Linked DNA regions of Elephas maximus indicus. The protein of the gene in region 2 interacts with the protein of the main gene of each other region in a biochemical or structural test. Links are inferred from orthologs where the notes say so. Each region holds a gene or a part of one and is shown on either strand. Other genes may lie near its edges.

Evidence for each region. The genes of interacting proteins can lie anywhere in the genome.
Region 1: of the proteins of LYN (region 2) and DOK1, one has a biochemical effect on the other in vitro, tested with the Homo sapiens proteins (2 studies listed by BioGRID, with this or other methods). The link is inferred for Elephas maximus indicus from reciprocal best matches to the Homo sapiens genes LYN and DOK1.
Region 3: the proteins of LYN (region 2) and KIT form a complex in vitro, tested with the Homo sapiens proteins (2 studies listed by BioGRID and IntAct, with this or other methods). The link is inferred for Elephas maximus indicus from reciprocal best matches to the Homo sapiens genes LYN and KIT.

Annotation. Positions count from the first base shown.
Region 1 is NC_064835.1:61,284,142-61,291,227, forward strand, and holds the start of DOK1 (docking protein 1), read right to left. Parts: upstream 3,019-7,086; 5' UTR 2,936-3,018; intron 2,769-2,935; 5' UTR 2,736-2,768; coding exon 2,676-2,735; intron 2,324-2,675; coding exon 2,024-2,323; intron 1,898-2,023; coding exon 1,804-1,897; intron 1,589-1,803; coding exon 1,404-1,588; coding exon of another isoform or gene 1,397-1,403; intron 1,179-1,396; coding exon 369-1,178; 3' UTR 1-368. Other genes in the region: LOXL3 (lysyl oxidase homolog 3), read left to right, coding at 5,063-5,354, 6,967-7,086. UniProt on the Homo sapiens protein: DOK proteins are enzymatically inert adaptor or scaffolding proteins. They provide a docking platform for the assembly of multimolecular signaling complexes. DOK1 appears to be a negative regulator of the insulin signaling pathway.
Region 2 is NC_064837.1:77,118,619-77,126,240, forward strand, and holds the start of LYN (tyrosine-protein kinase Lyn), read right to left. Parts: upstream 3,002-7,622; 5' UTR 2,919-3,001; intron 1-2,918. UniProt on the Homo sapiens protein: Non-receptor tyrosine-protein kinase that transmits signals from cell surface receptors and plays an important role in the regulation of innate and adaptive immune responses, hematopoiesis, responses to growth factors and cytokines, integrin signaling, but also responses to DNA damage and genotoxic agents.
Region 3 is NC_064823.1:106,781,805-106,789,231, forward strand, and holds the start of KIT (mast/stem cell growth factor receptor Kit), read right to left. Parts: upstream 3,019-7,427; 5' UTR 2,969-3,018; coding exon 2,842-2,968; intron 1-2,841. UniProt on the Homo sapiens protein: Tyrosine-protein kinase that acts as a cell-surface receptor for the cytokine KITLG/SCF and plays an essential role in the regulation of cell survival and proliferation, hematopoiesis, stem cell maintenance, gametogenesis, mast cell development, migration and function, and in melanogenesis.

The DNA.
Region 1 (7,086 bases), on a different chromosome or scaffold from region 2:
GGTTAGAACCAGGCACAGTTCAGCATTTCCCTAGAGTCTCCATACAGGCCCCTCAAACTGCACCTGTTCTCATCGTACACCCCTTTCTATAGATGTAGTCCAGCAGTTGTCCATTCCTTTGGGAGGTGGAGGGTTTAGGGGTGCTGGCCCTCCCCAGATCCCATCCCTCAGTTCCTGCCATCTGTTCTACTTCCTAGGACTTGTTGGAATTGGTCATCCTTCCCTCAACAACCCTAATCCCTCTGAGACCCTGGTCTCACACAGGAGCCCCCTGTGCCCTGCTTCCCTCTAGTTCTCACAGGTTTTGTTCATCCCCAGTGCCATCTCCCCATAGTCTTCCTATTAGCTCTGCCAGCCAGGCCTTACTCTCATATGGAGTCCTCTGACTGGACTCCAGTCCTACTGGTCTCTGCTCTGGAGAGCCCACAGTCCCAGCTCCCCGAGGCCCCATTCTTCTGGACCTGACTATACAAGGCAGTGCCTGAGTTGTGGCCTTTGCTGCCACTGCCAGTTTCAGTACTAGGTTCAAGGAAGACCAGGCCTTGGGGCTTGGGAGCTAGGAGAGGCTTTGCGCTCCGAGGGGGGGGCACAGCATAGTCATCAGTGGCTGGGTTGTAGGGGAGCTCGTAGCCCTCCTCCTTCACCCGAGCCTGGCACCACCATGCATCCTTGGGCTCTTGAGGCAGGTCATAAAGGCCTCGGGAAGGGGCTGGGGCCAGGCCCTCAGGTTCGTCATAGATGGGGTCTTCTTTGGGGTCCTTCAGGTTGGCCTTCTGCAACTTCTGCTGTACATGCTCATACAAGTCCCAGTAGAGAGGTTTCTTCAACTGCGCCCCGTCTCCTGCCCGAGCACGGGTGCTGTCCAGGGGGTCTGAATATAGGGAGTCCTGGGAAGGGCCTGGAGGGATGCGCAGGGAGTCTAGCGGTTCAGCATACAGGGATGGGGGGCTGCACAGGAGCTCCTGAGGGCCACAAGGAGGAGCCAGCTTCCCTTCTGCCACTTCTTCATGGGAGTCAGTTCTCAGGACATCATGCCCCTGACCAGCCTTTGCCTGGGCCTTCTGCTGACGGATGGCTGTCTCAACTGCCTGAAAGATGTCATTTCCCTGTGCCGTCTGGAAGGTGAAGGTTCCGGGGCCAGACGGGCAACGGCGGCCGGCCTCAAAAGAGAACATAACCTGAAGGTGGTATAGAGGGAAGCATCAGAGGAGGTGAGTCACAGGGCTGAACTAGGTAGGGAATCTGAAGATACCATCTGGGGAGCGGGGGTCACAGGGTAGGCCAAGAAGGGGGGTCCCAGAGAGCAGAGCTTCCCACCTTCCTGTCCTGTCCCACCCCACCAACAACTGCCCAACCCAGCAAGCCCTCTCTGACAGCCGTCCCTGACGGTCCTCACCCCCCACCTTGTCACGGCCATAACGACGCAACAGAGTGTAGGGCCAGTAAAGGAGGGGCTCCAGTTTCTGACTCTGGGTGCCCATGGCCAGAAGAGTCAGCCTCTCAGCCTCTGTCCTCAGCATGTAGGAGCCATGCAGGCCACAGCGTTCAGCAGCCTCAGTCCTCTGCACGGTCACCCAGAACTGAGATCCTGAAAGGAACACTAGATTAGATGCTTAAAAGAGTTACTGGGGACTAGGGTGAAGGAATGAGGACCCGGAAGGAGTCAGAAGCAGAGTGTCCTGGCACTCACTTGGAAGCCAAATCTTCCCTTCCCTATGGGTCCATGAACCCTCTAATCACTCCCTTCCCAAGGGCACTCCTCCTCCCCACTCCATCCCTGCCCGGACTTCTTGGGGTTTCTACCTTCCCAAGTGGGGCTATAAAGCGAGTTCTCCAGCATCTCCAAGGCAGAAAGTTTGGGTGGGTTTTCGGCAGGCGCCTGAGCCCAGCTGCCTTTCTGTCGTAAAGAGAGAGGGAGTGTAGAGGACCCCATAATCTCCCAGCGTGGCTCCCAGGGTCTGAGCCAGCCGGATGCATCCCCGCTTCGCCCCAGCCCCTCGATCGCACTCCCCGACCTCCTCACCGGAAAGGCATTTCGGCACAGCGTCTGCACCCAGGCGGCACTGGACCGCGCGTCCGCGGCCAACAGGTGGGAGCGCTGCGCTGTGTCCAGGCGGAAGGCTGCGGCGCCGGGCTCAGGGGGGCTCTCCACGGCCACGGGGACCACGCTGACACACTCTGCCAGGCGGATCACCTTGCAATCCAGGCGGCGCGAGCCCCCGCGGCCACCCCCTGAGCCCGACCCCTTGTGGTCAAAGAACTCGAGCCGGGCCACGCCGTTGGGGCTGGCAGGGTAGAGCACAGCCCAGGTCTTCCTCCACCTCTAAGGAGAGAGACACGATGGGGAAGGTGCGGGGCGAGCGCGGGCTGCCCGGGCCCCTACCGCGGCGGCTGAACGGGCTCAGACTGATTTGGCGTCTCAGGCTGATTTGGCGTCTGGGGCTTCCCGACCCGGGGCAAAGTCTCCCAAGGACGACGCCGCTCCGTCTCCCCAAGAACAAGGAGGACGTACCCCGACGCTTCTCTGGAGTGTGCAGAGCGACTTCGCGGGACCATCACCGGGCTCTCCAGCTCCCGGCGCCGCGCTCCAACCCGCGCCCGCTCCCTCCTGCTTTCTGGGCCCTTCCGCCCACCCCCTGCTCTGAAGGGGATCGGCAGCCCCTGGACCCCACTACCTTGGTCCCGAAGCGCTGACTCTGTAAAAAGAGCGGCCCTTCCATCTCAGCCCCGTCCATGGCCCCCGGCGGTCCCTTCGGCGCTTCCTGGCACTGCGGGCGGGAGGCGGGACGGGGCGGGTCGCAGGCGGGGCCGGACTCGTCAGAGGCGTTCCCGCCCTTCCCTGCCCCCGCGGGCCGCGACAGGGGGGAGGGAGAGGTGCAAGAAAGACCGGGGTCCCCAGATAAGCTGGGCGGCCGCACCACCTCCGGGCCCTTACCACGGCCGTGGGGCGCGCACAAGTGGCTCCGCAGAGAGAAAACTTCGGGTTTCGGCCAGACAGCCCCGGCGCCTGGGAAGGGGGCTGCGTGTGACGTCTTATGCCCTGCGTGACATCAGAGTGAAGGCCGTGACATCACCCCGAGAGCGCCTACGGGCACCCTGGGGCCCCAGAGGGGCCACGTGGGCCCTCATGGCCTCAGTTCCCCTCGCCCGGCCCGCCCCCAGCCCGGCCGGAGTCGCAGTGTTTACCCTCCGCGAGCCGGGGGCGTGGGGGAAGGGCTGGGGGCTGGAAGGCTTCCCGGAACCCCGAGCCCAGCGGCCTCCCGCCGCCACGGGGGCTGCCGCCCGGGCCTGTAGGCGGCCCCGCGGCCTCTTGCGTGTCCAGCTACCCGACCGCAGCTGTCCGGCCTCCAACCTGCGGGAAAAGAAAGCCTCATTGAGCGGGCCGGGAGGGCGTGGGGGGGAGGGGGCGCGGCTGCGGCCAGCTCCACCCGGGAGGGGAGGACCGAGAAGAGAAAAGGAGGGAACTGGCTAGGGAGGAATCCAGGGAGAAGGCGGAATGTGGGAGGGCTCAAGGGGATGTAGGAGGGACGAATGGGGGGGGGGGGTCCGGTCTCCCCTGTCCGAACACTTTTTTTTTTATCCTAGGACTGATCTCCGGGACCAAGACTCTTCAACCAGCCCCTAGATCCCTGCTCAGCCAAAGGTAGGGGAGTCAGGCTAGCCTGCCAGAGGAGGAACAGGGTTATTAGGGATGGAGAGGACGGTGGAGGGACCAGGGAAAAAGGATGGAGTCGAGGGGAAGCCAACCAACTGAGGGTTTTATTATTGTCAAAAAGGAGTGAGACACTAGAAGAGTGGAGAAATGGGGAGGCAGGGGTCGTGTAGGGTGTCCCAGATGGGGCAGTCGGGAGGACCTTGAGGCTAGGGGCTTGTCTGCGAGGCCTCAGCCCGGTGCCCCCAAGCCAAAATATTCTCAGAACAAAGATGTCTTGTTGGGTTGTTTATCTGGGTTGGGGGAAGCATGTTTCAGTGGGCCCCTCACTGTGGAGGGGCTGTTGTGAGCCCCAGACCAAGAGAGGGCCTTGGCTTCCTATCAGATCAGAGCATTGCCTCCCGTTGCTCGGTGACAGCAAAGGCGGCTCCAAGAACCCCACCCCATCCCCCTGCCCAGCTTGAGGCCCGGCCCTCCTGGGCCTCTTGACCCTGCCCTGCATCTGAGAGCCTGCGTGGTGGGAAAGGTGTACAGCGGGTACTCCTTGTGGTCTAGTGTCTGCCTTCCTTGCCTCTGGCATCTGGTACTCTGGGCTCCACTCCTGTTGGAGGAACCAGAGATCTGAGGGTCTTCTGGGTCCTCCTTGCCTGCCTCTCAGCGCAATCAGTGGAGCTGTCAGTCCCTCTGACTGGCTGAATGGAGTCATCAGGGTCCCTCCCACATCTGCTCCTTGACTCCTGTCCATCCCTCTCCCCCTCACCTGTTGCCTGCAGCTTTCTCTCTGGCACCTTAATTCTGTGTGCCTAGCATTCTCCCTGTCACCTTCTAACTGTCTTCACTGTGTCTGTCTCTCCTGCAGTCTCTTTCCATTGGTCTCCCTTTCACTCCCACACTCTCCCTTCCTCTCACATCCTGTCTGTCTGGGTCTTCCTCTCTGTGTGTTCTTGCGCAGTCTCCATCTCTTTATCTCTTTGTTTTGACCATTCTCTGACTCTTGGTCTCTAATTACTGTCTTTCAGTCTCTGGGTCTCTCGGGCTGGGGAGTAGGGGTAATGGAGATGATGATGGCAGAACTAGGGAAGGATGTTGTGGGACATAACAGCTGATGGTGAGGGTTTCAATATTTACAAAACGGTGGGGAGAGCATATACCTCTCCTCATCATCCCCCTCTTTCTCCTCCTCTCCCCAGTGTGGGCCTGGGTCTTTCATCCCTTACCTGTTTGACTTTGTGTCTCTGCCCTTGTTTAATATATTTCTGTCTTATTTAGTGTCCTTCTCTCTCACTGTCTCTCTATCTCTCTCTGGTATGTCTCGGTGTCTTTCTTTCGTGATATCTCACTTGGACTCTGGTCTTAACCTCAGCTTCTCTCTCACATTCCTCTCCCTGGGGCACCCAGGCCTTCCCTGCCATGCAACCTGTCAGTGTCTGGAAACAGAGTACGTGGGGGCTGCTGCTGTGCCTGCTGTGTGGCTCCTGTCTGGGGTCTCCATCCCCAGACGGAAACCAGGGGCTGCGGTTCCGGCTGGCTGGCTTCCCCAGGAAGCCCTACGAGGGTCGTGTGGAGATACAGCGTGCTGGCGAATGGGGCACCATCTGTGATGACGACTTCACACTGCAGGCTGCCCACGTCCTCTGCCGGGAGCTGGGCTTCACAGAGGCTACAGGCTGGACCCACAGTGCCAAATACGGTGCTGGAACAGGTGAGCAATGCCCCCCAGGAAGAGCCAGGTACCCTGACTGCCTAAATGACACCTAAGTGCAGGGAGAGGAGCACCAGAATGACACAACCACAGGGACACAGGACACCAAGAAGAGCTGGAGTCAAGAAAACCCATGAGTGACACCCAGCCAACACAGTCACTCACCAGAGCTGTGCGACCTTAGGCTGATCAGTTGCTTTGTCTGAGTCTCACATGCCCCATGTGTAAAAATGACTAGATGATCTATAAGTTCCTTTGTTTTGCAAAAGGGTGTGATTCTACAAAGCCATGCACAAGGGCAATTCAAGTACAGCTTGCTCCATGGGAGGCTGAGAGCAGGTAAATGATGTCTGAGTGTCCCAAAGCCAGAAGGGATCCCAGATACTGCTGCTGATAAAATCCAGTTACAGGCGACAGCTGAAACGCACAAACTGGAACTGAGTAAGGACAAGTAAAATGCCTAGGACAAGTCTAAGTGTGGTTGGTAGGGGATTAAGAGCAATTCTGACTGAGGCCTGGGAGTGCTTGCACTGTCTGAGACCACAGTAGGACTGATGGACAGAGTTGGTGCAACCTGACCCAATCCCCCAATCCCCACTGGCTAGACCACTTCTGAAATAAAGTGTCTACTCATAGATGTCAGATTTTTCAGAGACGCTAGAAAACGGAAACACTGTCAGAGAAGAACTACCCAGATGTCAGAGATTCAAAAGCCAAGTTATAAGGAAGCATAGCTGGAGAAACCAGCCATCTTTAATCTGGAAAGAAAAAGCCTTAGATGGCAATTACATGATGGTCATCTTTAAATATAGTAGGGTCAGTCATGTGACTGAAGACTTTTTCTGGATGGCATCAAAGGACTGAATCAGACTGACAGAGGAAAGTCTTATAGAATCACAAGGACTTTCTGATGGTTACAGTGACCTGGTGGAGGTAGATGTCCCAGTAGAAGCTGGGTAAGCCCTGTTACGGAATGCATGAGGGGGTCCCTGCACATTGGCTGGGACACAAGGCCTGTGAGGCTCCACCCAATTCAGAGAAGAAGTTAATGATATTCAGTGTGGTTCAGGCAGGGAGAACACCAAGTGGCATCACGGCAACACAGGCAGGGCAGCCACATGAGAAAATGTGTGAGTGAGGTGAAAGGATCTTTGGTTTCCAGGTCTCACAGACTGGGCCCAAACTCCTAAGCCTCCTCACGGCTGTGTGGCTGTGTGGTCTTATGCAGGTTACTCAACTTCTCTGAAGCCCAGTTTGTTTATATAAAACAGTGATAATATCTTCCAGGCAGCACTGTTCCAAGATGACAACATAGGTACAGACCCTGGCAAAGTGCTTGGCACAATTGTAGCTATCATTGAATGTGTAAGAACTGATCAGAACGTCCGTATCGATTCCTGTTTATTTGCCCTACTAAATTCTTGGGGCTCCCTCCATCAATCCCCCCTTCTCCCTCCACAGACTCCTGTTCCTTCCCCACCCATTATCTTCCCAGAAAAGTGAACTCATCATGGCCAGATGTGAAGCCCCAATGCTCATCCCTCCCACCAGCCCCATCACACCCCATTCTACCTCTCCAAGCCTTTCTGTCCCTCCATCTCTGCCTCCACAGGCCGCATCTGGCTGGACAACCTGAGCTGCAGTGGGACTGAGAAGAGTGTGACTGAGTGTGCGTCCCGGGGCTGGGGGAACAGTGACTGTACCCACGACGAGGATGCCGGCGTTATCTGCA
Region 2 (7,622 bases):
CCATTCACAGTTTCAAAACTACTTCCACATTTTAGGTGTCTCTTAGAGCAGCACCCCACTCCTGGTACCAAATTCTGTCTTGGTTATCTACTGCTGCCATAACAGAAACACAGTGGATGGCTTTAATGAAGAGAAATTTATTTTCTCACAGTCTAGTATGTTACAAGTCCAAATTCAGGGTGTCGGCTCTAGGGGAAGGCTTTCTCTCTCTGTCGGCTCTGGAGGAAGGTCCTTGTCCTCAATCTTCCCCTGGTTAAGAAGATTCTCAGGTACAGGGATCCCATGTCCAAAGGATGCGCTCTGCTCCTGGCACTGCTTTCTTGGTGGTATGAGGTCCCCAACTCTTTGCTTGCTTTCCTTTCCTTTTATCTCTTGAGAAATAAAAGGTGGTGCAGGCCACACCCCAGGGAGACTCCCTTTACATTGGATCAGGAAGGTGACCTGAGTAAGGGTGGTGTTATAATCCCACCTTAATCCTTTTAACCACAGGCAGAGATTATAATTTATAACACATAGGAAAATCACAAAATGAAGGACAACCCCGCATGGTCTAACCAAAAAAAGTTAACACATATTCTGGGTGAACACAATTCAATCCATTACAAGCTTATCTATGAGTAATGTTTTAATTTTTTTTTTTTAAGTTATAGTTCCATATATTAACTTGAACTAGCTGGAATCTCAAACCTTTTGATTTATTTCTGAATACATGCATAAATGGAACTGAAGGGCTGTGAAAGCTACTGATTCACAAAATTGTGTTGGACCACTTTCCTGCCAAAAAGAAACCGCTGAAGGCAAGAGGTGGGGAGAGGGATCTTCCAGAGTCTCCATGCACCTTTGGAACACCAATGACTATAAAAGGAAGTGGGTTTTTTTGATTGTGCAACCTACTTTTGCAGGAGGCTTATTTATTTTTAATGAAACACACCCTTCCCCTTTTCTGTATTGTGGTAAAGTATACATAGGAGGCATCTTCTTAAGACATCAAATCAAGATCTCTCTCAGTGATACAAAGGGAGGCCAGCCCTGGGTGGAGATTCTAACACATGCTCGGGTCACGTGACAGGGTCGACAAAGGACATAAATGGACCAGTGAGCTTCCAGGGCCTTCGGAACCAGAGTGTTCATTTCTCTCCATCTGATCTCAACCTTGCAGGTGACTGTCTCAGATCAGGCCCTTCCCTCCTCCTTTCAAGCACGTACTATGTGCAGACCCCAGGTCTAGCATTTTGGGCTGGATGGACGAAGCTGCACTCTCATGGAGCTTCCATTCTCCTAGTGAATGCACAGACCCCCAGTCTAGCATTTTGGGCTGGACGGACGAAGCTGCACTCTCATGGAGCTTCCACTTTCCTAGTGAATGCACACTATAAACATGTAACAAATTGTGATGCAACTTTGGTTGCTGCTATGAAGCAAATGTTGGCTGAAGAAACAGCCCAACTAACTTCATCCCAAATCACAGCTCAGCAAATGGCAGGTGAGACCAAAACTGAAGTTTCCTGGCTCTTGTTTTCTCTTCTCTGACATCGGCTAACCTCTACCCTGCACTCAGAAGAGGGTTATGGTCCTCTACATCCAAGGGGACCAGTCACCCAAAGCTTGTGATAAAGTTAAATCCTTCAAGCCTCAAGATGCCTATCTCCTTACCTGCAAATGAAAGCTGAGGCACTAACTGAACGCCACCCTTTCCCAGCACAGCTTACCTTAGTAAGGACTTCTGAGTGAGGAGTTTGAGTGCCTATTCCAGGCATCACTGCTTCAGGTGCTGGCCCTACAGAACATCCCTGCCCTCCCTAACCTTACTGCCAGCTGAGGGCAGACCACAGGCAGCGACTCAAAATCCTTTTTGGCTAGCTCTTATAAATCAGACCCCCGGTCTCTGTGCTGGAACAGCAAGTCCCTCGTGTATTTATTAAGCAGGTTTACTAGTACAGTTGAGTTTTCAGAGAGCAAGGACCCAGCATAAAAAGGACGGGTAAATTGGACGTGTGGTCTTGGGCTTAAAGCCATCAAATTGCAAAGAACCAAGGAGCCTCAATTCGATGGACAAAATTATTTGCAATAAATAATAATAACACCACTTAGGGAATGCCTTAGTAGGGTTTTTTTTTTTTTTTTTTTTTTTAATAAACGGCTAACAGGTGAGGAAAACGACGAACGGGATTTCAATAATTGGCCCAAGTTCACACACAGCTAGGAAATTGCAACCCTCGGATTCCGACTCAGGTTTCTGAGATGGTAAAGAAGTTGAGTGGATTTGGGGTACTTCAGGCACACACACTGGATATGCAAAGAATGAGAACCACACTACACACGACCACGCGGCGACTGATGGACGCTGACAGTCCACCAAGATAACGCCGCCGGAAAGTGGGAACTGACGCTTACACCCTGCCCCCAAGGCGAAAAAAAGGCAACCCCAGTATTCTTAAAATAACTCTCGCTTCCTCTCCGCGCAGGCACCGGCTGCTCCTCCGCGGGGCGCAAGGCGCCTGGCTCACGGGGAGGGTGCGCGCCGGCCCCGCGGCAGCCCCTCGACGTCACGTTTCTGCCCGGGGCCACCGAAAGGGCAGCTGCGCGAAGGGCCCCACCCCTCACCTCGGACGACCCCAGGGCCCTGAGCCACCGGATCCCTGCTGGGGGCCCGCTCAGCGCGCAAAGGGGCTTCCCCGCCGCACTCAGGGAGCGACCAGGGGGCGTCCATCCGCACGCCTCGCACCTCCCACCCCGCCCCTGCGCCGCCCGCCGCGAGACACCTGCAGAGCCGCCCGCCCCCGCGACCCGGCTCTCAGGCCCGCTCACCCTCGGGCTGAAGGCGCCAGGGCGTCCCTGTCTTCCAGGGCGGGGTCGGTGGAGCAGGGACCCGGCGCGCCCCCCAGCCCGCGGCCGGCCCGCTCGCTCTCACTACTCACCCGCTCGCGATGGAAGTTGGGGGGCGGCGGCCGAGCTCCACGGTGACTTCAGATCCAAGCAAGGGGCCCGACGGGGCGGTCGGATCCGGCCAGCGTGGGGGCGGCGGCGAAGGCGCGGGCTGGGCCGAGGGGCGCGGGCCGCCGCTGTCGCGGGCTGGGAGCTGCAGCGCGTTTGGCCCGGGGCGCCACGGCCGGGAGCTAGCTGCGGCGCGGGCCGGCGCGGCGGAGAGGAACTGGCGGTCGCTGGGCTCGGCCGGGAGTTCCCAGCTACTTCCTGGTGCTCGGATTTGCATACTGCGCCCAGAGGGCGGGGAAGTGACCGTTTGGCCCCTGCCCATAGCTCGGGGCTTCGGTGTGGCCATCGCGCAGAGCTTTGAAAGAAAGGAAACCTGGCGTCCCCGTGGGTGGCAGGGGAGATAAGAGCAGCCTCAGGTCCAACATCCTCTTATAGAGACGGACCAAAGGATCTTCCAGGAGATTCTCTGAAAATCCAAGCACATGCTCGAAACTTCTATCGTCTCCTTCCTTTCCTCCAACCTACTTCCCCAAATGTTAGGAGATGGGGTGCTGCTGGGAGCAGAGGGAGCGAGCTCTCTCTAGAGAGGAATAGATATAATGAGTAGATGCTCAGAGTCTCCCTGAGTCAATAACTCAACACAGAGCAAGCTCCTTAAGGTGTAGGCAGTGATGTTCAGGGTATTGATTGGGGGGCCCAAGGAGTGGTGGGAAGGAGAGGAGTGCGGGGGCAAGGGGGCTGTAGAGTTGAACGGACAGGAAATTTTCTCAGGTCCTCAAATCCTCAATTTCCTCACAGGAAAACAGACACGAATGGCATATTGGGAGAATAAGCCAGCCTTCTGTGAAGGGCTGAAACTGTGTCTAGCATATGATGATGGTAGTGTTTCCTTCTTAGCGTCCCTAGCCTCCCACACACATCAGGTGCCTCAGTGTTTGCTGTAATAATGACTACCTCTCTGAGCTCAGGCTCCAACTCAGTAAATGCCGTTTACAAATCCACAATCAATGATCGCTTATTCTAAGGACTCCATTCATTAGAATTCCAGTTTTGCACTACATTGTAAAAACTACAAGGAAATAAATTACACACTGTTAGTAGATGTGCTCTTTGCATTAATAATATCCAACACTTACATAGGGCCTAGTGGGCTTCAGAAGGAGCCCTGGTGGAGCAGAGGTTAAGCACTCGGCTGTTAACCAAAAGTTCAGCAGTTTGGACTTGCCAGCAGCTCTGCAGAAGAAAGATGCGGCAGTCTGCTTCCTTAAGGATTGTTTTTGAGGCAGGGCCAAGATGGCAGGGTAGCCGGATGCTTACAGTGATCCTCTTACAACAAAGACACAAAGACCCCCCCCCAAAACAAGTGAAATGATTATGGCAAGCTAGGAGCTCCGAACATCAAAGGCAAAGTTAGAAAACAGACTGAGTGGCAGGGGGCAGGAGACATAGTTGAGAAGCTGCTAGGGTTGCCAGACCTGAACCTCCGGGAACCCTCAGGCACCATTCCCTGTAGCGACCGTGGCAAGCTGGTGCAGTAGCATTCCTGACGTGGTTTCCTCAGGGAGAGACAGCAAGCCACACAGCTTACTCACACCTCCAGAACCAGAGAAGAATGGGTGCTTTTGGCAAAGCTAAGTGTTTGTGTTTATTTTACCACACACACCCGCCCCTCCACCTCCCAGCCCCCAAGCTGGCTTCAGTGGCTGTCGATTTCTCTGGGCCTGAGATAGGTTCTGCTGTGCACTCTGATCCGTTCTCCCAGTCTTGGAGAAGGAATAAATTAGCAGATGGGGGAAAAGATAATCCGCCAGCTACACTAAGCTGGGAAGCTCAGGACAGGAGCAGCTCTTGTTCAGGCACAAATGCTCCACAGACTTTGAATACTTTTCACCTCTGCACGGACCTGTGTGGGCCCATTTCAGAAGAACAGGCCCTTGTTGTCAGACTGCAACTGCTTCAGCTGTGTGGCAGAGAGGTGGGTGTTTGATGTTTGACACTGCTTTGCCTATTAAATGGGGTCCTCACCTACCCACATTGGTGGCCTAAGGACTGGTGGTTACACCCACATCACCTAGCCACCCACAAAAGGGGTCCAAGGATAAGAGGTACCTCCCAGTCTTTACAACCAAAAGCTGGGTACCCATGGTCCTAGTGCAGAACCCACCCAACCATGCACTCTAAGGAACAGGCATGCACTTTCCTCACAGACACCCAGGGAACAGTTGTCAGCCCCGTGCCTTGTTCAGAATGTGACCCTCTATGCAAACAGATATCTGTACCTACATCAATCACCCCTGCACCTCTAAGACTTTAGGACAGAGCCCGTACTACACCCTTGATGACCGACTACTGGACACCTGAGCTGAATCCATATAAGAAAAAGGAATGGACTCCTAGATTCATACACCGGGTAACATCTCTAGCCATCTGGTGACAGGACGCTAGAGCTTCAAAGGTGAAAATAAGCTAGCTCACTCAAGCAGTCTGTTAGGACATATCAAAATAAAACTAAGCAAGAAGCTAGGATACGCTAAGCAAACATAAACTAATACAATAACTTATAGATGGCTTGCAGACAACAGTCAATATCAAATCACATAAAGAAGTAGACCAGATCACTTCAACAAGCTCTCAAAACAAGGAATCTTGTGAATGAAGGTGTCTTCCAGGAATTACCAGATACAGAATACAAAAGATTAATATATACAACTCTTGAAGACATCAGGAATTAGATCAGGAAAAATGGAGAACAGGCCAAGGAACACAAAAATAAAGCAGGTTATTCAAGAACATAATGAAAACTTTAATAAGCTGCAAGAATCCACAGAGAACCAGCATTCAGAAATTCAGAAGATTAACAATACACTTACAAATTAGACAACTCAATAGAAAGTCAGAGGAACAGAATTGAGGAATTAGAAGACTGAAGAAAAAACACTTGGCACCAATACATTCAAAGAAAAATCAGATAACAGAATTTTTAAAAAATGAAGAAATCCCATGAATCATGTGGGACTCTATCAAGAGAAATAACCTACGAGTGATTGGAGTACCACAACAGGGAAGGATAACACGAAATACAGAGAGAATTGTTAAAGATTTGTTGGCAGAAAACTTCCCTGATATCATGAAAGATGAGAAGATATTTATCCAAGATGCTCATCAAACTCCACATAAGATAGATTTCGAAAGAAAGTCACCAAGGCATATTATAATCAAACTTGCCAAAACCAAACATGAAGAGAGAATTTAAGAGTGGCTGGGGTAAACAAAAAGCCATTTACAAAAGAGAGTCAATAAGAATAAGCTCGGACTACTCGGCAGAAACCATGCAGGCAAGAAGGTAATGGGTTGACTTATATAAAGCACTGAAGGAAAAAAATTGCCAGCAAAGAATCATATATCCAACAAAACTGTCTCTCAAATATAAAAGCAAAATTAGGACATTTCCAGATAAACAGAAGCTTACAGAATTCGTGAAAACCAAACCAAAACTACAAGAGATACTAAAGGGAGTTCTCTGGTTAAAAAATCAGTAATATCAAATATCAACCCAAGACTAGAACACAGGACAGAGCAACCAGATATCAACTCAGATAGGGAAATCACAAAAATAAATCAAGATTAAAAAACACTCAAAACAGGGAAACAGCAATGTTACTATGTAAAAGAAGACAACATTCAAACAATAAAGAAGGACTAAGAAATATTTTTTTTTTAAGAAATATAGTCATAGATCTTTCATATGGAGAGGAAGTCCAGGTGATATAAAGAAAGAAAAGTTAGGTTTAAAGTTAGAAAAATAGGGGTAAATTTTAAGGTAACCACAAAGGAGACTAACAAACCTACACATCAAAATAAAATACAAGAAAAAAATAAAGACTTAACAAAAACAAAATCAACAACAACAAATAAGAGGAAAAGAAAATAAATATTCAGCACAAAAAATTAAGTGGGAAAAAGAAACTGTTAACAACACACACAAAAAAAGACATCAAAATGACAGCACTAAACTCATTAAAAAAAAAGTTTTTTTAAAAACTCATACCTATCAATAATTACACTGAATGTAAATGGACTTAATGCACCAATAAAGAGAAAGAGAGTGGAAGAATGGATTTAAAAAAACATGATCTGTCTATATGCTGCCTGCAAGAGATACACCTTAAACTTAGAGTCATAAACAAACTGAAACTCAGAGAATGAAAAAATACATATCAAGCAAACAACAATCAAAAAAGACCAGGAGGGGCAATATTAATTTCTGACGAAATAGACTTTAACATTAAATCCACCACAAAGTACAAGGAAGGACATTATATAATGATTAAAGGGACAATCTACCAGAAGAATATAACCATATTAAATATTTTTGCACCCAGTGATAGAGCTGCAAGATAAAAAAACTCTAACAGCAGTGGAAAGTGAGATAGACAGCTCCGCAACTACAGTAAGAGACTTCAACACACAACTTTCAGTGAAGGAGAGACCATCCAGAAAGAAACTCAATAAAGACACAAAAGATCTAAATGCCACAATCAACCAACCTGACCTCATAGACATGTATAGAACGCTCCACCCGACAGCAGCCAGTATACTTTGTTCTCCAGTGCACATGGAACATTCTCTAGGATAGACCACATATTAGGTCATAAAGCAAGTCTTAACAGAAACCAAACCATCAAAAT
Region 3 (7,427 bases), on a different chromosome or scaffold from region 2:
TACCACTGATTATTTTGGGCAAGTGTTTTGTCCTGAGCCAGTTTCTTCAGCTGTAGGTGCTGGGGGTGTAATAGTACTGCCTCCTGGACTTGCTGAGAGGATTGGAAATGACAGGCAAAGCTCCCAGCACAGTGCCTGGCACACATTTTCTAATCAAAGAGCAACAACTATTTTATAACACACATGCACGGTGGTTAAGAGCTTGGTGGCTGGTTAAAGGTTGGCAGTTCAAATTCACCAGCTGTCCCTTGGAAACCCTACGGGGCAGTTCTACTCTGTCCTATAGGGTCGCTATAAGCCAGAACCGACTCAAGGGCAGCAAGTTTATGTAATATGAAATTTAGGGCACATTAGAAAACGTGCTTTGTAGAAGCCCAGTATATATGATTTATAAAGTCATAGGAAAAAATGAGTGGATGGGTAGGAAGGAGAATGGGATTAAATGAGTTATCTGGGATCGCTCCATAAAACTGTCATATTATTTTCAGCAGGATAATAATCCAGCATGCCCTGTGTCCAGCTGCTGGCGATGACTCTGGCTTCACACCTGCAGGAACAAGGGGATGGTATGATTCACTATTCCTTCCAGGTTCATCCTGCCTGACATAGGAGCTGTAAATACTAGAGGAGGGAGGGGGTGGCATTAGAGAGTTGGCACCTCTCCTAGCTGTCAGAGGCAAACTGTAGGGCAGCAGAGGAGTGGGTAGCGTAAACTATAAGGGCAGACAGGTAGGTCACACCAAGCGGCCCTAGTGACCAGAAGCAGCAAAGAAATTTCCAGACAGCTGGAAGGGGTCAGTGAGAGAGTTGAGAAAGATGCTCAGTTGACTATCAGAACTCTGGAGGAGAATTTTGGACTCAAAGGAACCTTCATGAGGCGGATGCCTCATTATACTTTCAGAGGAAACTGGGATCCCCAAGAATTTCAGCATCCTGCCCAAGGGCACACAGCCAATGAATGGCAGAGAAAACGAACCAGATTGGAAGTCCAAGGCTTTGTCACTACACCACAGTGCTCCCCAGGAGACACAGACTTTAAAATTCCCTTTGCCAAACATCTGCTGGATGAAGCGGGAGAATTATGGGGAAGAAGGAAACAATCGATTCATTTAATTAAAAAAAAAAGGGAAATGTTTAATGAGGCCTGTCTTTCTTGGAACCGTACTCGGGTCTAGTTCACATACCCTATCTGAAATCAAAAAATAAAATAAGACACAAGAACGTAACAACCGCATACGTCGTTTTAGCTAGGCAGTCAATTCCAAGGCATTGGAACCCTGACTCATGATCCCTCCTACTTCACAGGGGTCCAGATGGAAGGCCTCTCCTCCCCGACAGGAAAGCCTTCACAATGCCTTTCGGACCGGGAGGGGGAAGCTGCGTCTTGAGACTTTATGGAGAAACGACCGGTAGTCGACAGAGCCCACCATAGTTCATTGCGATGCTTTCTCTGGAGCCCTTGTATTCCAGTTCAGACTCACTTTCTATCCTTACATCATCAGGGTAATCTTAAATGATTTAAAAAAAAAAAAAAATGACCTGAGGGAGAAAAGGGCTTCAGGGGGTTACCCAGGCGACCCGCAAGGGCCGCGTGTACCAGCGACACCCAGAAAAAAAGGAGTCAGGAAGCGGTCCAGGAATCTGCAAATCCTTCCCCACCTTAAGACCCAAGTTCCCGCGCGGATATAACTGGATTTCCATAACAGCTTTAAGAACCAAGGAGAATTTGCAGAAAGTTCCACTCCATCTCCCACCCCCCACCTCAGGCTGCTCTGAAGTATTAATACTACGTGGGAAGGGGTGCAGCGAATCTCAAAATTCCCGAAGAAAACTGGGAGCTGCGATCACAGGTCGCCGAGACGAGGGGCTTCCAGGGCCCCGCCAGCCTGTTGGGACACTGCCTTGGGCGCGCGCGGCTACTGGGGTCGTGGATCGCAGTGCCCCAGCGCGCTGTCCCTGTCTCCCCGGGAGCCGGCGGCAAACGCAGCCTCCAGCCGCTCCGGCGCGCGTGGAAGGATGAAACGGCATCGCGGCAAAAAGGGGAGAGCCTCCGGCACGGGATTTACAAAAGCAAAAAGTCTGCAACCTAGCGGCTGCTTGCTATACGCCCTGCCCAAGTTGACCCTGTCGTCGCCACCTCCACGCACCCTGGGTCCGGCCCCACGGCCGCACGCCGCGCGCCTCGCTTGCAAAAGCATAACCAGGGAGCCGGGAAGCACAGCCGCCTCCGACTCGTCTCCACCGGTCTCGCCGCTAGTAGAGGCGGTAGCGCGTTGGTTCCTATCTCTGGGCAGGCACAAAGAGCGCCCGTGGTTGGAAAGCAGCAGCCACAGAGCAAAAAAAGGCTTTCGAACTTTACCCTACGCAAGGCTGAGAACCTGCCGGCCGGCCCTCTGGGGTACCGGTCACACGCACGCAACTTTTAACAAAAGGAAGCTGTGGCCGCACCTCGCACGGTAGAGATAACGCGCTCGGTGCGAACCCCTGACCGCCCGCCTCTACCACCCGCGAACCCTCGGCACAAAAGAAATCCCAAACTCGCATGCAGTTCGGCTGCCCTCAGCCTGCAACCTCGCTCACCCTCAGCCCCCTCGCTGCCCTCATTTCTGGTTCCCAGCTCAGTGGCCCCAGCACCAGGGACTGGGGGCTTCTTGCGCAGGTGAGCAAGGCAGGGCGCAGGAGAGTCCCCGGGGACGCCTCGAATCTTCCCGCAGGCTAAAACGCCTGGCACCTGAAAGGCCAACAGCCACCTCTCCCGACACACCCCAGTATGTTCAGCCCTTCGTCGGGCATAGGCTGCCCTGGGGGGCGCGGTCCGGGGTGTCCGCCGTGCTCTCCCACCTGTCTGGACGCGGAGCAGGAGAAGCAGGACGCAGAGAAAATCCCAGGCGCCGCGAGCGCCTCTCATCGCGGTGGTTGCGCTGGAACCTGAGCTCTGTTCCACGTTCCTGCTCTTGCCCAAGTGCATTCAGCGCGGCAAAGCCGAGCCCCCAGAGCCTGAGCGCGGAGAAGCAGCCCCTCCTCCCAGTGCCCTCCCCCTGCGAGCCGGCCACGCCCCTCCTCGCCTCCCCTCCTCCCGCCCGCATGGGTTGCGCTCCCTTCTAGCGTCGCTGGCCCCAACCTCTTTCGACTGGCTAATCCCTGGGGGCTGTGTCCAAGGGGCGGGGGAGGGCACTCCGGCCCTCGCAGCCAGGGTCTCGACCCCCGAGCCCTACATCTCTCCACCTCTCCTCCTCTGTAATGTGGTAGAGGCTCGGGAGGCAGTTCCTGGACGAGGGTGTGCGTTTTGTGAAGCCGAACACCAGCGCACTTTAGGGCAAGGGCTCACCACCTGCCAGGTGTTCCCCAAACAATAAAGGTTGGCCGCCAGCCTTCGTGCATACTCATGAGGGAGGGCGTGGACACTTCTGGTGGTGGAAGTGGTTCCGGGACGGGAGCGGGGTGGTTAGTAAATTGGACCCCGACATTGTTCCCCATTCCTGTTAGACAAGTGGGACCTAGCGTGGCGCCTGGCGTCGCGGTAAAAGGCTAAAAGGGAGTTTAGGTAATTATGCTCAGTTTCTCCACCTGCTCCGTTACCTGTAAGAGCATAGTTGGTTCCCTATTGGTCGGCGTAGCCTCCACCCAACAACCCCCTGCTCAGACTTTTCTGAAGACTGCGGCCTTGGAGTGGGGAAGGGCGCCTTGCGAAGTTTGCTCAGGTAACCTGATTTTTTAAACCCACTTGCACCAATCCTTGTGCAAAGCCTTTTGGGTGCCTTTTTTTTTTTTTTTTTTTCTATGCAGTTTCTCTGCGTCTGTATCACGACAGTTACAGGGCTGAGGATCCCTGCGTTCTTCTTAGCTGCTCCAGCCCGTGCCAGGCTCAAAATGATAGTAAAATGATACTTTTAACCCAGGTCCCTTTGCATAGAAAGTGCTTCGCCCACCTGCTTATGGTGGCGCCCCTGAATGAAATGTAACAACAATATCTGTATAGAGTTTTATAATTCTTCCCCATGCTGAATATTACTTCATGCTCACAATAACAACTTTATAAGGTAGCTAGAGCAGATATCTTTATTATTTTATTTCTAAAAGTCGCCTTAGATCACACAGCTAATAAAGGGGAGACCAGGATTGGAACCCTAATCTTAAAACTGACTCCAGGTTACGATGAGCTTTCCCTATGCCTTCTGATGAACTAGACAAACATCCTCCCCCCACTTTCCCCAGAGCTTAAGAATGGAAAATAAATGGGAAGTGCCCATCAGAAAAAAGCTATAGAACAATGTAGGTACACCTAGACTCCTCTCTAAAGTATCATCCAAAATTTATAATTGCCCAGATCCCCACTTCATTTAATGTTGAAAGCTCTCCTGTTTGATGCTGACATAACCTAAATTGGCTTAAATTAATCACTTAAAAATTATCACTACTAGAGGATGATCAAATGATCAATATGTATAATTGCTTCTCTTTAAATTTATTTATGTATTCATTCAACAAACATTTATTGTTGTCCACTGCAAAGCAGTGGTTAAGATCTGGGCTGCTAACCTAATAGCGATTTGAACCTACCAGCAGCTCTGAAGGAAAAAAGACCTGGCGATCTGCTCCCATAAAGATTGTTGCTGTTGTCGTTAGGCACCTTCGAGTCAGTTCCGACTCATAGTGACTCTATGTACAACAGAACTAAACGCTGCCCAGTCCTGCGCCATAACTCACAAACCTTGCTATGTTTGAGCCCATTGCTACAGCCACTGTGTCAATGCATTTTGTTGAGGGTCTAGAAAATCCTATGGGGCAGTTTTCTGTCATATAGGGTCTCTATGAGTCATAGTCGATTCTACAACACACAACAAAAACAACCGTGAAACAAAAGTTAAGCACGTGGCTGCTAACCCAAAGGTCGGCAGTTTGAACCCACCCAGCAGCTCTAGGGGAGAAAGACCTGGCGATCTGCTTCCATAAAGATTACAGCCTCGGAAACCCTATGGGACAGTTGTACTCTGTCACATGGGACTGCTATGAGTTGAAATCAACTAGATAGCACCTAACAAAAACACCTGTGAGGCAGGGAGAAGCTAGGTACCAGGAGTCCAAAAAAAACAAAACCAATCGCCAACTCATGCGACCATATAGGACAGAACAGAACTGCCCCCATAGGGTTTCCAAGGCTGTAAATCTTTAAGGAAACAGACTGCCACATCCTTCTCCTACAATGTGGCAGGTGGGTTCTAACCACCCACTTTCTAGTTAGCAGCTGAGTTCTTAGCCACTTTGCCACCAGGGCTCCTTCAAGGTAGCAGGAGTACAATAGTTAATAGCCAGATGTGGGCCTGCCCTCACAGTCATTATCATTATATGTGGGAACCCACATCCCAGTCTCCTAGCAAATGGTTTAAGTCACACAGCTGTGGGAGAACTGAAACTCAGAAGGTCTCTGTTTGTGCTCTGGCCCATCAGACCATACTTTTTTCTTAAGATGACAGATCAAAGATATCACTTGAGGCAATCATAAATTTCCAGGATCTTGATTTATTACTCAAATCCATTTTGTAAGAGAAAAAAAATTACTATGAGTTAAAATATCAACATTGTGCCTGAGAGAGAAAATTTATAATTTTTTTCTTCAATCAACTGATATTGGAGAGTACAAGTCTTCAGAAGAGTGGGTAAAAAGAGACCATATTGCAATTTAATTCTAGGAAGGAAACTTCCATCAGGGGGAAAAAAAAAATCGGAATAAGGGGATTATATAATGCTAGAATGTCATCTGTATTCATTTATTTAACAAACATTTACTGAAAACCTGTTGCCATCGAGTCAGAACTGCCCCATAGAGTTTCCAAGGAGCACCTGGTGGATTTGAACTGCTGACCTTGTGGTTAGCAGGTGTATCTTTTAACCTATATGCCACCAGGGTTTCCCAGTAGGCACTAGGCCTCCAAAAATGAGTAAGACAAAATCCCTACTTAGAGGAATTCACAGTCCAGCAGGAAAAACAAACATCCAAATAAGAAACTATAATATCTGCTAACAGGGCTCTTACTCAGCCGTTACACATCAATTTAGCCATATTGGTTAGTAGAATATTGAAATCCTTCTGTACTGATTGGAAAAAAGCCACTGCCTTAAGCACTTCCTAAGTGTCCCTTCACCCCTACCTCTCCCCTGAGATGCCCTCAATCTCCTTAGATCTAGGCTTTGTGCAGGGCACAGCAGACAACCTCCAGTACCTGGGCCTTTGGGTTTGTTAGCTGTGTACTGAAATCAGACATGTATAACTACAGCGAGTGAACAGCTATGGGGTTGAACTATACTATAGATCAGCACTGTTCAGTGGACCATTTGTGATGATGCAAATATTCTGTATCTTATATAGGATGTATTTTATAGTTTTCATAATTGTGTCAATGAGGACATTTGATTACAACTTGTAGAAACCCAGCTCTAGCTGGCATAAGCAAACAAAGAACCCTAAAATCTACTGGCTCTTATAACTGGACAGTCCAGGAACAGTGCTAGTTCTAGACATTCCTAGATCCAGGAACTCAGAGTCGGCAGGACTTGAGGGTGGTGTGTGTGTGTGTACAGACACATACATACATTTCTCCATCTTTCAACAATACTTTCTTTGTTGTTTAATTGTCTCTTGTGCACTCGGGCAGCTCTAGGTTTCAGCTCTAATACCAGTGGAAGCAGAACTTCTCTGCCCCATCAACAGTTCCTATAAAAACTCTAGAGCCCTGGTGGCACAGTGGTTAAGAGCTATGGCTGCTAACCAAGAGGTCAGCAGGTCGAGTCCACCAGCTGCTCCTTGGAAACCTTATGCAGCAGTTCTACTCTGTCCTATAAGGTTGCTGTGAGTCAGAATCTACTCACTGCAAAGGTTTATAAAAGCACTAAAACTGGGTCTTGCTGGCCTGGTTTAAGTCACATGCACATTGAAAACCAGTCAAGGAGGCCAGAGGGACAAGATATAATGCTTGGCCAGGCTTGGGTCACATGTCTACCCCGGAAATGTTGGGGGTTATTGTGGATTGAATTATGTCCCCCAAAAAATGTGTGTATCAGTTTGGTTGGACCATGATTCCCGGTATTGTGTGATTTTCCTATATGTTGTAAATCCTGCCTCTGTGATGTTAATGAGGGAGGATGGCCGGCAGTTGTGTCAGTGAGGCAGGACTCAATCTGCAAGATTGCATTGTGTCTTGAGGCAATCTCTTGAGATATAAAAGAGAGAAGTGCACAGAGAGCCAGGGGGACCTCATACCATCAAGAAAGCAGTACTGGGAGTAGATCGCGTCCTTCGGACCCAGGGTCCCTGCATGGAGAAGCTCCTAGTCAAAGGGAAGACTGATGAGAAGGCCGACAGAGGAAGAAAGGCCTCCTCTAGAGCTGACACCCTAAATTTGGACTTTTAGCGTACTTTACTGTGAGGA